Danio rerio: one gene and its partner. The protein of the gene in region 1 purifies or fractionates together with the protein of each later gene. This does not show direct contact. Links are inferred from orthologs where the notes say so. Each region holds a gene or a part of one and is shown in the gene's direction. Other genes may lie near its edges.

Region 1 (4,395 bases):
ATATTGGATTAGATGAAATGGCCAAGCATACAACCCGAAATATACAGCTATATTATTGAAACTCCAAGTGATTTTACGAGAGAAAAGTTAAAGGCCTACAAGTCTTTGGATGCCTACAATTTTGTTCTGTGTGGTCATGTGCAGGAAATAATGTTCTATGATTACCAGACTCAAAACGGTAGTGATAAAAACCGAGGTTCTGCCTAGCCAAAGACAAGGAAAGACGACGGAACTGTACAAGGCCTGGGTAATCACCAACAAGCAAAATAACTGCATTCTGACAGCGAAATCCACCTGTACGGCAGGGTATGTGAATGTACATTTTTACATTTTATTCTAAGCATTCACTGTCCGCAGTTTAATTAACCAAATTTAACTGTTTGTTAAATCATTGCTGCAATCAAAAACGAGTAATGAGTATGATTCAGCATAGAGTGTACTTACTTGATATAACATAAGAACTGCAGAGTCGAGCATTTTTAATTAGGTCCTCACACCATTCAGCTCTCCTGATGGCTGTTTGTCAAAGATGTCTGCAGTTGGCATTAAAAGCTGTGTGGTGTTTGGAGTTTGGGCTTAATTTATTTTTTATTTAATTAATTTAATTTAATATTTAAAATAATTTCATATTTAATTTAGAATTTGGCATCCTACCGCACAACACGACATGTTTGCTATTGCAACTGGTCTTTTTTGCAACCGGAATGCCTGGTTGAACCTGTGTGACGTCATCTGTGACATAAATTGATAATTCCTATATAGTCTTATAATAATGTAATGTTATGTAATAATAATATTACAAAATAAAATATCCATCATTGAGTGGTCCAGCAGTCATATTTATAAAAAAATGAATGCATTATTTTTACTTGCAAATTCATTTTTTTAAAAACACATTTAAAATGTAGAAAAGAAGATTGAGTGATATAACAAACAGCAATATAGATAAAAAATAAATAAGAGTAGAAAGGGTGCATTTCAGGACTTGGGCCGCATGGCTGGAATTGCTTGGGGCCCCAAAAACATGAAATCTACCCCTTGCTGTATGTCTATGGGAAATCCTCATAACAATAAAAAAACTAAATGTTGTGTGCTTGGACTGACAAAATTTGCACTTTATTAGAAGCAACTTGACAAAACAGTCACCATTTTGGTACTGTAAAAAGCATGCACGTGATAGAAGAAGACAAGCTAATCCAGCACAAAATATTTCATAAAATATCATCAAAATGGTCTACTTTTAGAGAAAAAGACAACCCCCCCCCCCCCCCCCCCCCACTCGCTACGGATACTGTTGTATTCTTAATCAAATAGTTGCAACATTTAAACAACAAAAGAGTTTTCTGTCAAAAAACATTATTTTATTTAGCTTTTTCCAAAATGTGACTGACATGTCTGTGACTTTTCCCCACACAGAGCTCAGTTTTGTGTCACACACACACTTGCAACAGTTTGACAGATGTTTGAGCTCAGTCAGTCAGTCAGTCAGTCAGTCACATCTGGACGTTGCATCACAGACGAATGTCCCGGATAAAGAGAACGAAGAGTCTGCTGTTCTGCTGGAGGAAGAAAAACTGGGTAAAGAAACGAATTAAAAAGATATCGCGTCCAATTCAAGACATTGGGTTGTACTTCTCTCATTTAAAGAGATGTGATACTGCTTATATGTGCTGAATTGCTACTTGCGGCGTTCAAGCGATGAGCTTTGAATGTTTATTCCAGCTAATGTGATGGACTTGTAGGCAGGACGCTGGGCGGAAACAGCGGGGAGAACTTGCGTGTGTGTTTCTGCCATGAAGGAGTGGCCCAAAACTTGTGTTCCTCTGTGTTTGTGTAGATGCTTGATGAGGATGAGTGTTGCTGCGTTCGGTTCGTAAGCGGTGGACGCGCAGTAAAAGACGCAAAGCACCGGTAAGTGTTTACGCAGACTGTTGCTGTATAAAACGCTCGAGTTATGGATGTAGTCTGTGATTTGACCTTGCTGTGCATTTCTTAACGCAGCCTACTTGTAGTGTTGAGTCAGTTTTCAGTGTGTGGATGAGGTGTTCAGTTTAAATAGCTATTTTCCTCCACAAAAGCACAAGCAGTGCCAACTTTTGGGGGAAGCAAAGTCTCCCCCACTTCCTGGGTTGCCAGTTTGAGCGTATATTTGTGGCAGGGTTAATAAGGTTGTTTTCTCCTGTAGTTTAGACACACAAGGCAGCTTCTTAAAACAAAATACTGCAAATTCTTATAAAGAACAGTTGACATATCAAGTTCATCCATTCTGATAGCTGCAAGCGAGTTCTTATTGGCTAACGAATCGTTCTTTTGAGCCGAATCTTTAATTGAATCGGCTAAAAATAGAACCGAGCGATTTGTTTTGACGTTCTGGTGTTCAATTCTTAACTTTTGGATAAATTTGTATAAACAAAAGCGTATTCAAATTAATTAAATATATAGGACATTATCAACCACAGTAATCGTTTAACTTGAATTGTTCAACTGACTGTGAAACGACCATTCAAAAGAACCGATTCATAGAGTAACTCGAACTAGTAGGAGCATGTGTTTGTAATTGAAAGGCCATGGGGTCTCCACAGTGAGATGCAATGCAAGTCATATGCTTTGCTCCTTCCTTTTTTTCTTTCATCTTTTTCTCCTTGTGAATTAAAAACCTCATTATTTTGTGCCACCAGTGTCACGAGTTATTTCAAATGCAGTGTCCGCTCAGTTCTTTAAAATGGTTACCTCAGATTAGAATTAGTTGGTATTGGGTTCAATAGGTTAGTTATTGTCAGTTTGTTTGACAGTTGACTGTTTTGTTCATTGGAAACTGTTAAGTGAGCTTTTTTCTTGCATTAAACACTTTTATGAGGCTGTAAATGCTAATGTTAATGTGCAGTTGAGCTCTCGATGTATTTCATGTGGTTTTCTGCAAGTGTGAAAGTGTGACACTTAAGCAATGGTTTTAAAATCACAGAGTGCTACTATTGAAAGCATGAGCTTAGCTGTGCAGTGTTTAGTTTAGTTTAGTCAAATTAGAATGCATACGAGTTCCCTCTCTGCATTAACTTCCCCTCTTTGACAGAAGTACTGTCATCACTTCTACTTCTCTCTTGTCTGGTTAATGTTCTGTCTATTTGACCAGTGATTTGAAGAGAGTCTGAAATCATGTGACCGACAGAATCTGAGATCATCCGTTTGCTACAGAGCTGCAGGCAGCCAGAAGTGTCAACATTATGCTGAGTTTCAGAAAGGAAGTGGACAATACTGCCTACTAAGTGATGGAAAGACAGAATCAGAGACAGCGGGCACATTATGTGCTTGAACACGCTCATATTATGCTAGCTGAGCGAGCTGCTCTTTTGCTTCTGATGTGGTGTTGCAAGCAAACATTGCAAAGTGCAAATGACAGAAATTCTGCTTTACAGTAAGATATGACGCTTTCAAATAAACTACCGTTCGTTTCTCTGTGGGCGGCCCCTTCCTGCCTCATTCTGCATGTGTGATCTAGCAGGTTGTGGTTGAAGGAATCCACCCGTCAGTTCTTACTTGAGGTAATATTATTTGAAAAAAAAGTTGATTTCATGTTCAGGGTCTTTGAGTGCATCTCAAAAATGCACGTTCACATTTTCACTTGCTTTTGTAAGCAAGTGTGCTTGTGTTCTTTAATGAGGGAAAGAATTAAAAACATCAGATAAAGCACATACATATTCAGTTACTGATTTAAAGATGCTGAATGTATGTATATAAGACAAAACACACACACACACTTACCGGCCACTTTATTAGGTATGTTAGGCTTATTAATGCAAATTTCTAATCAGCCAATCACATGGAAGCAACTCAATGCATTTAGGCATGTAGACATAGTCAAGATGATCTGCTGCAGTTCAAACCTCAGAGCATCAGAATGGGGAAGAAAGGTGATTTTGAATGTGGCATGGTTGTTGGTAATCTGAGTATTTCAGAAACTGCTGATCTACTTGGATTTTCATGCACAACCATCTCTAGGGTTTACAGAGAATGGACCAAAAAAAAAAGAAAATATACAGTGAGCGGCAGATCTGTGGGCACAAATGCATTGTTGATGCCAGAGGAGAATGGCCAGACTGGTTCCAGCTGATAGAAAGGCAACAGTAACTCCAATAACGACTCGTTACAACCGAGGTATGCAGAAGAGCATCACTGAACACACAACACATCAAAATTGAGACGGACAAGCTACAGCAGCACAAGACCACATGGGGTGCCACTCCTGTCAGCTAAGAACAGGAAACTGAAGCTACAATTCACACAGGCTCACCAAAATTGGACAATAGAAGAAGAGAAAAACATTGCCTAGTCTGATGAGTCTCGATTTCTGCTGCGACATTTGGATGGCAGAGTCATAATTTGGCGTTAACAACATGA
Region 2 (4,308 bases), on another chromosome or scaffold:
ACAGATATTTATTACAACTTTTTTATTATTATGGTAATAATAATACATAATATAATATATACAAAATTTTAAAATAATATTTTAGGATGCATTGATTTTTTATCACATTGTGTTTGGCGTTGTAATTTTAATATCTTAATTCATTCATTTTTTTTAAAGTATGTTTAAATAATAAAATCATAACACTTTAAGAACTGAAAATGTTATTAAAATATGACTATGGAAAACATTTTGAAAAAATATTCATAACTTTATCTATGGTCTAATACAAAAATATGTATTTATTTAATAAATATATAATATTTATTAAAATATAATAATAATATTTATTATTGTTGTTGTTATTATATTATTATGTCATATTAAAAAATATTATACCATATTATTTCTATAAAAAGCACTTTAATTTACTCTAATATTAATATTTTACAAGCATACAGTAATTTAAAGTGACACCAAATGTTCATTTTGGCAGGTTGTTTATATGTCGACGGTCAATAAGATGATGTGACTCACTCGGTGTGGCCCTGGAAGACATTGACTGAGTGGATGGAGGGATCTCTGAAGTCCCACAGGCGGAAGGTGGTGTCTCTGGATGAAGTGACCACCAGACGCTGAGTCGGATGAGTGCAGCAGTGGGTCAACTCCTGATCGTGACCTGCAAACACACACAAACAGGTAATGGTGAGGGTTAGAGCTGGGGTAGAGGTTGATACAATACAACTGAGTTGTAGTTGAGGGTTTAACAAATAATAAACAAGGCAACTTTATTTATATTGCACATTTCACACACAATGGTAATTCAAAGTGGTTTACATGAACAAGAATAAAAGAAACGAGTATAAGAAATAAAAAACAACAAATATTAAAAACTGGTGGCTCAGTGGTCGCCTCACAGCAAGATCACTGGTTTGAGTCCCGGCTGGGTCAGTTAGAATTTCTGTGTGAAGTTTGCATGTTCTCCCCATGTTGGCATGGGTTTCCTCTGGGTGCTCCGGTTTCCCCCACAGTTCAAACACATACGCTATAGGGGAATTGGTGAACTAAAATGTGTGTATGAGTGTGTATGGGTGTTACAGCTGGAAGGACATACACTGTGTAAAACATATGCTGGAATAGTTGGTGGTTCATTCCACTGTGGCGACCCCTGATAAATAAGGGACTAAGCCAAAGAAAAATGAATGAATGAATTAAAATATCCATAATAACTCTCCTTAAACACATTAGTAAATGTTGATTTATTTCTCCTCATGTTCACCTGTCAGGGTGTGCACCAGCTCCGAGGTCTCCACATCGTACAGGTTTGCGGCTCTGTCCCAGGACGCAGTGACCACCTGCTTTCCTCCCACCAGCCAATCAGCGGCGATCACCACGCCTTGGTGGCTCTTCAAGGTGGTTGTGGCCACGCGGATGGTGGGGCATTCATTGGGTCCATCAGCGTCGCCGTCTGCCTCGTCTTTATCAGAGAAATCCACGTCATCGTCCAGCGAGGCCTGAGTCGCACAGGAAATGACAAGAGCAAATGTTTGAGGTAATTTGATTTCATTACCATTTCAGCATCTCCAGCTGTTATTATGACCAGAAAAACTGATCAAATTGACAAACATTTCATAAAAAATAAAACACTTTTCTATAATTAAAGGGTTTACAGTGCACAGGATAAATGAGTACACCCTTTACAGATCTCGCTTTTACATTCATATTATTTTCTATAGGATGCTTCACAATATTATACATATGGTTCTGTGGGTGGGTGAAGCAGTGGCGCAGTAGGTAGTGCTGTCGCCTCACAGCAAGAAGGTCGCTGGTTCCAGCCTCGGCTCAGTAGGCGTTTCTGTGTGGAGTTTGCATGTTCTGCCTGCGTTCGTGTGGGTTTCCTCCGGGTGCTCCGGTTTCCCCCACAGTCCAAAGATATGTGGTACAGGTGAATTGGGTAGGCTAAATTTTCCGTAGTGTATGAGTGTGTGTGGATGTTTCCCAGGAATGGGTTGCGGCTGGAAGGGCATCCACTGCGTAAAAACTTGCTGGATAAGTTGGCGGTTCATTCCGCTGTGGCGACCCCGGATTTATAAAGGGACTAAGCCGACAAGAAAATGAATGAATGGTTCTGTGGGTCTCGTCTATCAAATCTGAGATTCTGTATTGGATTTAGGTCAGATGATTGGCTGGGCCATTCTACAGCTTGATTTTCTTTCTCTGAAAGCATTTGAAAGTCTACTTGGTTATGGATCATTGTTTTGCTGAAATGTCCACCCTGGTTTCATCTCCATCATCCTGCTAATGTAGATGTTGGACTGAAGCAGCTGATATTCATTTACACTGAGGAAAAGCAGAGGGTTACTGAAGAACTACTGAGAGATTTCAGCTGCTGTCTGGGCTTTCCATGCATTTCCACACCTCCCTTCATGTGTTCAATACTTTTTACCTGTTTCGTTTTATTACACAGAACATTTTAGTATTACTAAATTGTATATTTATTATTACTAATATTACACTTACTGTTAACTAATTAGTTTGTGTGTACTGCGTTTGTGTGTACTGTATGCATTTGTGTACGCATCTGTCTGCCTTTGTGTGTATGTTTGTCTGTACACGTGTGTCATATGCGTCTAAGTGTATCTGTCTGCGTCTGCATGCGCGTGTGTGTACGCATGTCTCTGTGGGTGTTTGTGTGTGCGTGTGTGTTTAATACTCACGCTGATGTCTGCTGGAGGCTGTGGAAGTGGCAGTTGTACCATGTAACGCCAGATGTGAGCCGTCTGGTCCCCGGACGCTGTCAGGAACAGACAAAACAAACACAGAGGCAACATTAGCAAAAAGAAAAAAGCACAGCCATTGATCAAATCACATTTAAAAGCATCTGGGAAATACAAATCTATATGAAAGAGAGAAACATCTCAGTCTTAATGCAGTACAGCCCTCAGTCATGAAATAACTCCTCATTAGCAGCATCATGAGAGATCAGCAGACAATCACACACAGTTGAAGGCAATATTAAAAGCTCTCTTGTGAAATTGTAATATGTTTTTAAATCTATCCCGAGCACCGTTCAACACAGCAAAGGCATTTTCACAATATTTTTATAACATTTGTTATTATTATTTATTCATTTATTTCACTTCGGCTTAGTCCCTTTATTCATTAGGGGTCGCCACAGTGGAATGAACCGCCAACTTATCCAGCATGTTTTACACAGCTGATGCCTTTTCAGCCGCAACCCAGTACTGGGAAACACCCATACACTCGCATTCACACTCGTACACTACGGCCGACTAGATTTCTTGCGGTGCGGAGATAAATTTCCGAAAGAAGCGCAGGAGCGGTCGGTAACTGGTTTAATTTTGTACAGAAGCTCGCGGTCTAACAATATCACTCCTGACTCCTGAGCGAGCAAGCACGCGTATGTATGTATGTGTGTGAATGAGACAGCCTGATGCTGCGCTTAGCTTGTTTCTTGCTGTGTGTGTGTGTGTGTGTGTGTGTGTGTGTGTGTGTGTGTGTGTGTATATGAAAGAGAGAGCTTTGTGCTGTGTGTGTGTTTATGCGTGAATGCGTGAATGAGAGAAAGAGCGTGATGCTGTCTGTGTGTGTGTCACTTGCTTGGTGCTTGTGTGTGTGTTATAGTTTGTTATAGGCTGTCTGGACTCTGTATAGCTGGGGGGTTTTCGCTTTTGTTCTCCCCCTCGTCCGTTAGCGAAAATGGGCGCAACGGGTAGAAAACGGGGCGGGTTGGGCAGAGGGACAACAAATGCTAAATATAAGCGGGAGCGGTCGGGTTAGGGCTAAAACCTGGCGGGAGCGGGATTCAAAATTTAGTGCTGCGCAGATCTCTAGTTTGGACTGTGGGGAACACCAGAGCACCTGAAGAACACGGGGAGAACATGCAAACTCCACGCAGAAATGGCAACTGAGCTTGGATTTAAACCAGCGAAATTATAGAAATTAAGTTGCATTTATTTTTAAAAATATTTTAAAAATCTTAATTTAAAATTCAGACAATTGAGATTTTTCTGAATTAAAAATCCGACATTTTTATTTCATTAGATTTAAGCATATTCTTCTCCTTCAATTTTAACCATTTACAGATAGACAGACGAATATTACTGATCTGTGATATAAATGAAATAGGCGTTCTTTACAATCCAGTTGCTGGATTATATATTCTATACTGTGGAAATTGTTATTGTCAATTGATCATTTTAATAAAAATACATATTGATTCGTTTTTCACCAACATATATTAATAAACAAGACACAGAAATATAAGACATTGTGTAAAAAAAAGCAAACCATTAAAAAGTTTTTGTG

What was found.
Region 2: the proteins of wipf1b (region 1) and nck1b purify together in Homo sapiens (co-immunoprecipitation; 5 studies listed by BioGRID and IntAct, with this or other methods). This does not show direct contact. The link is inferred for Danio rerio from reciprocal best matches to the Homo sapiens genes WIPF1 and NCK1.

What each region holds. Positions count from the first base shown.
Region 1 is NC_133181.1:11,765,527-11,769,921, reverse strand, and holds the start of wipf1b (WAS/WASL-interacting protein family member 1), read left to right. Parts: upstream 1-1,515; 5' UTR 1,516-1,578; intron 1,579-1,825; exon of another isoform or gene 1,826-1,837; 5' UTR 1,838-1,911; intron 1,912-4,395. UniProt on the Homo sapiens protein: Plays a role in the reorganization of the actin cytoskeleton. Contributes with NCK1 and GRB2 in the recruitment and activation of WASL.
Region 2 is NC_133199.1:3,692,839-3,697,146, reverse strand, and holds the start of nck1b (SH2/SH3 adapter protein Nck1), read left to right. Parts: upstream 1-1,493; 5' UTR 1,494-1,531; intron 1,532-2,696; coding exon of another isoform or gene 2,697-2,773; intron 2,774-4,308. Other genes in the region: wdr37 (WD repeat-containing protein 37), read right to left, coding at 517-658, 1,259-1,493, 2,697-2,773. UniProt on the Homo sapiens protein: Adapter protein which associates with tyrosine-phosphorylated growth factor receptors, such as KDR and PDGFRB, or their cellular substrates. Maintains low levels of EIF2S1 phosphorylation by promoting its dephosphorylation by PP1.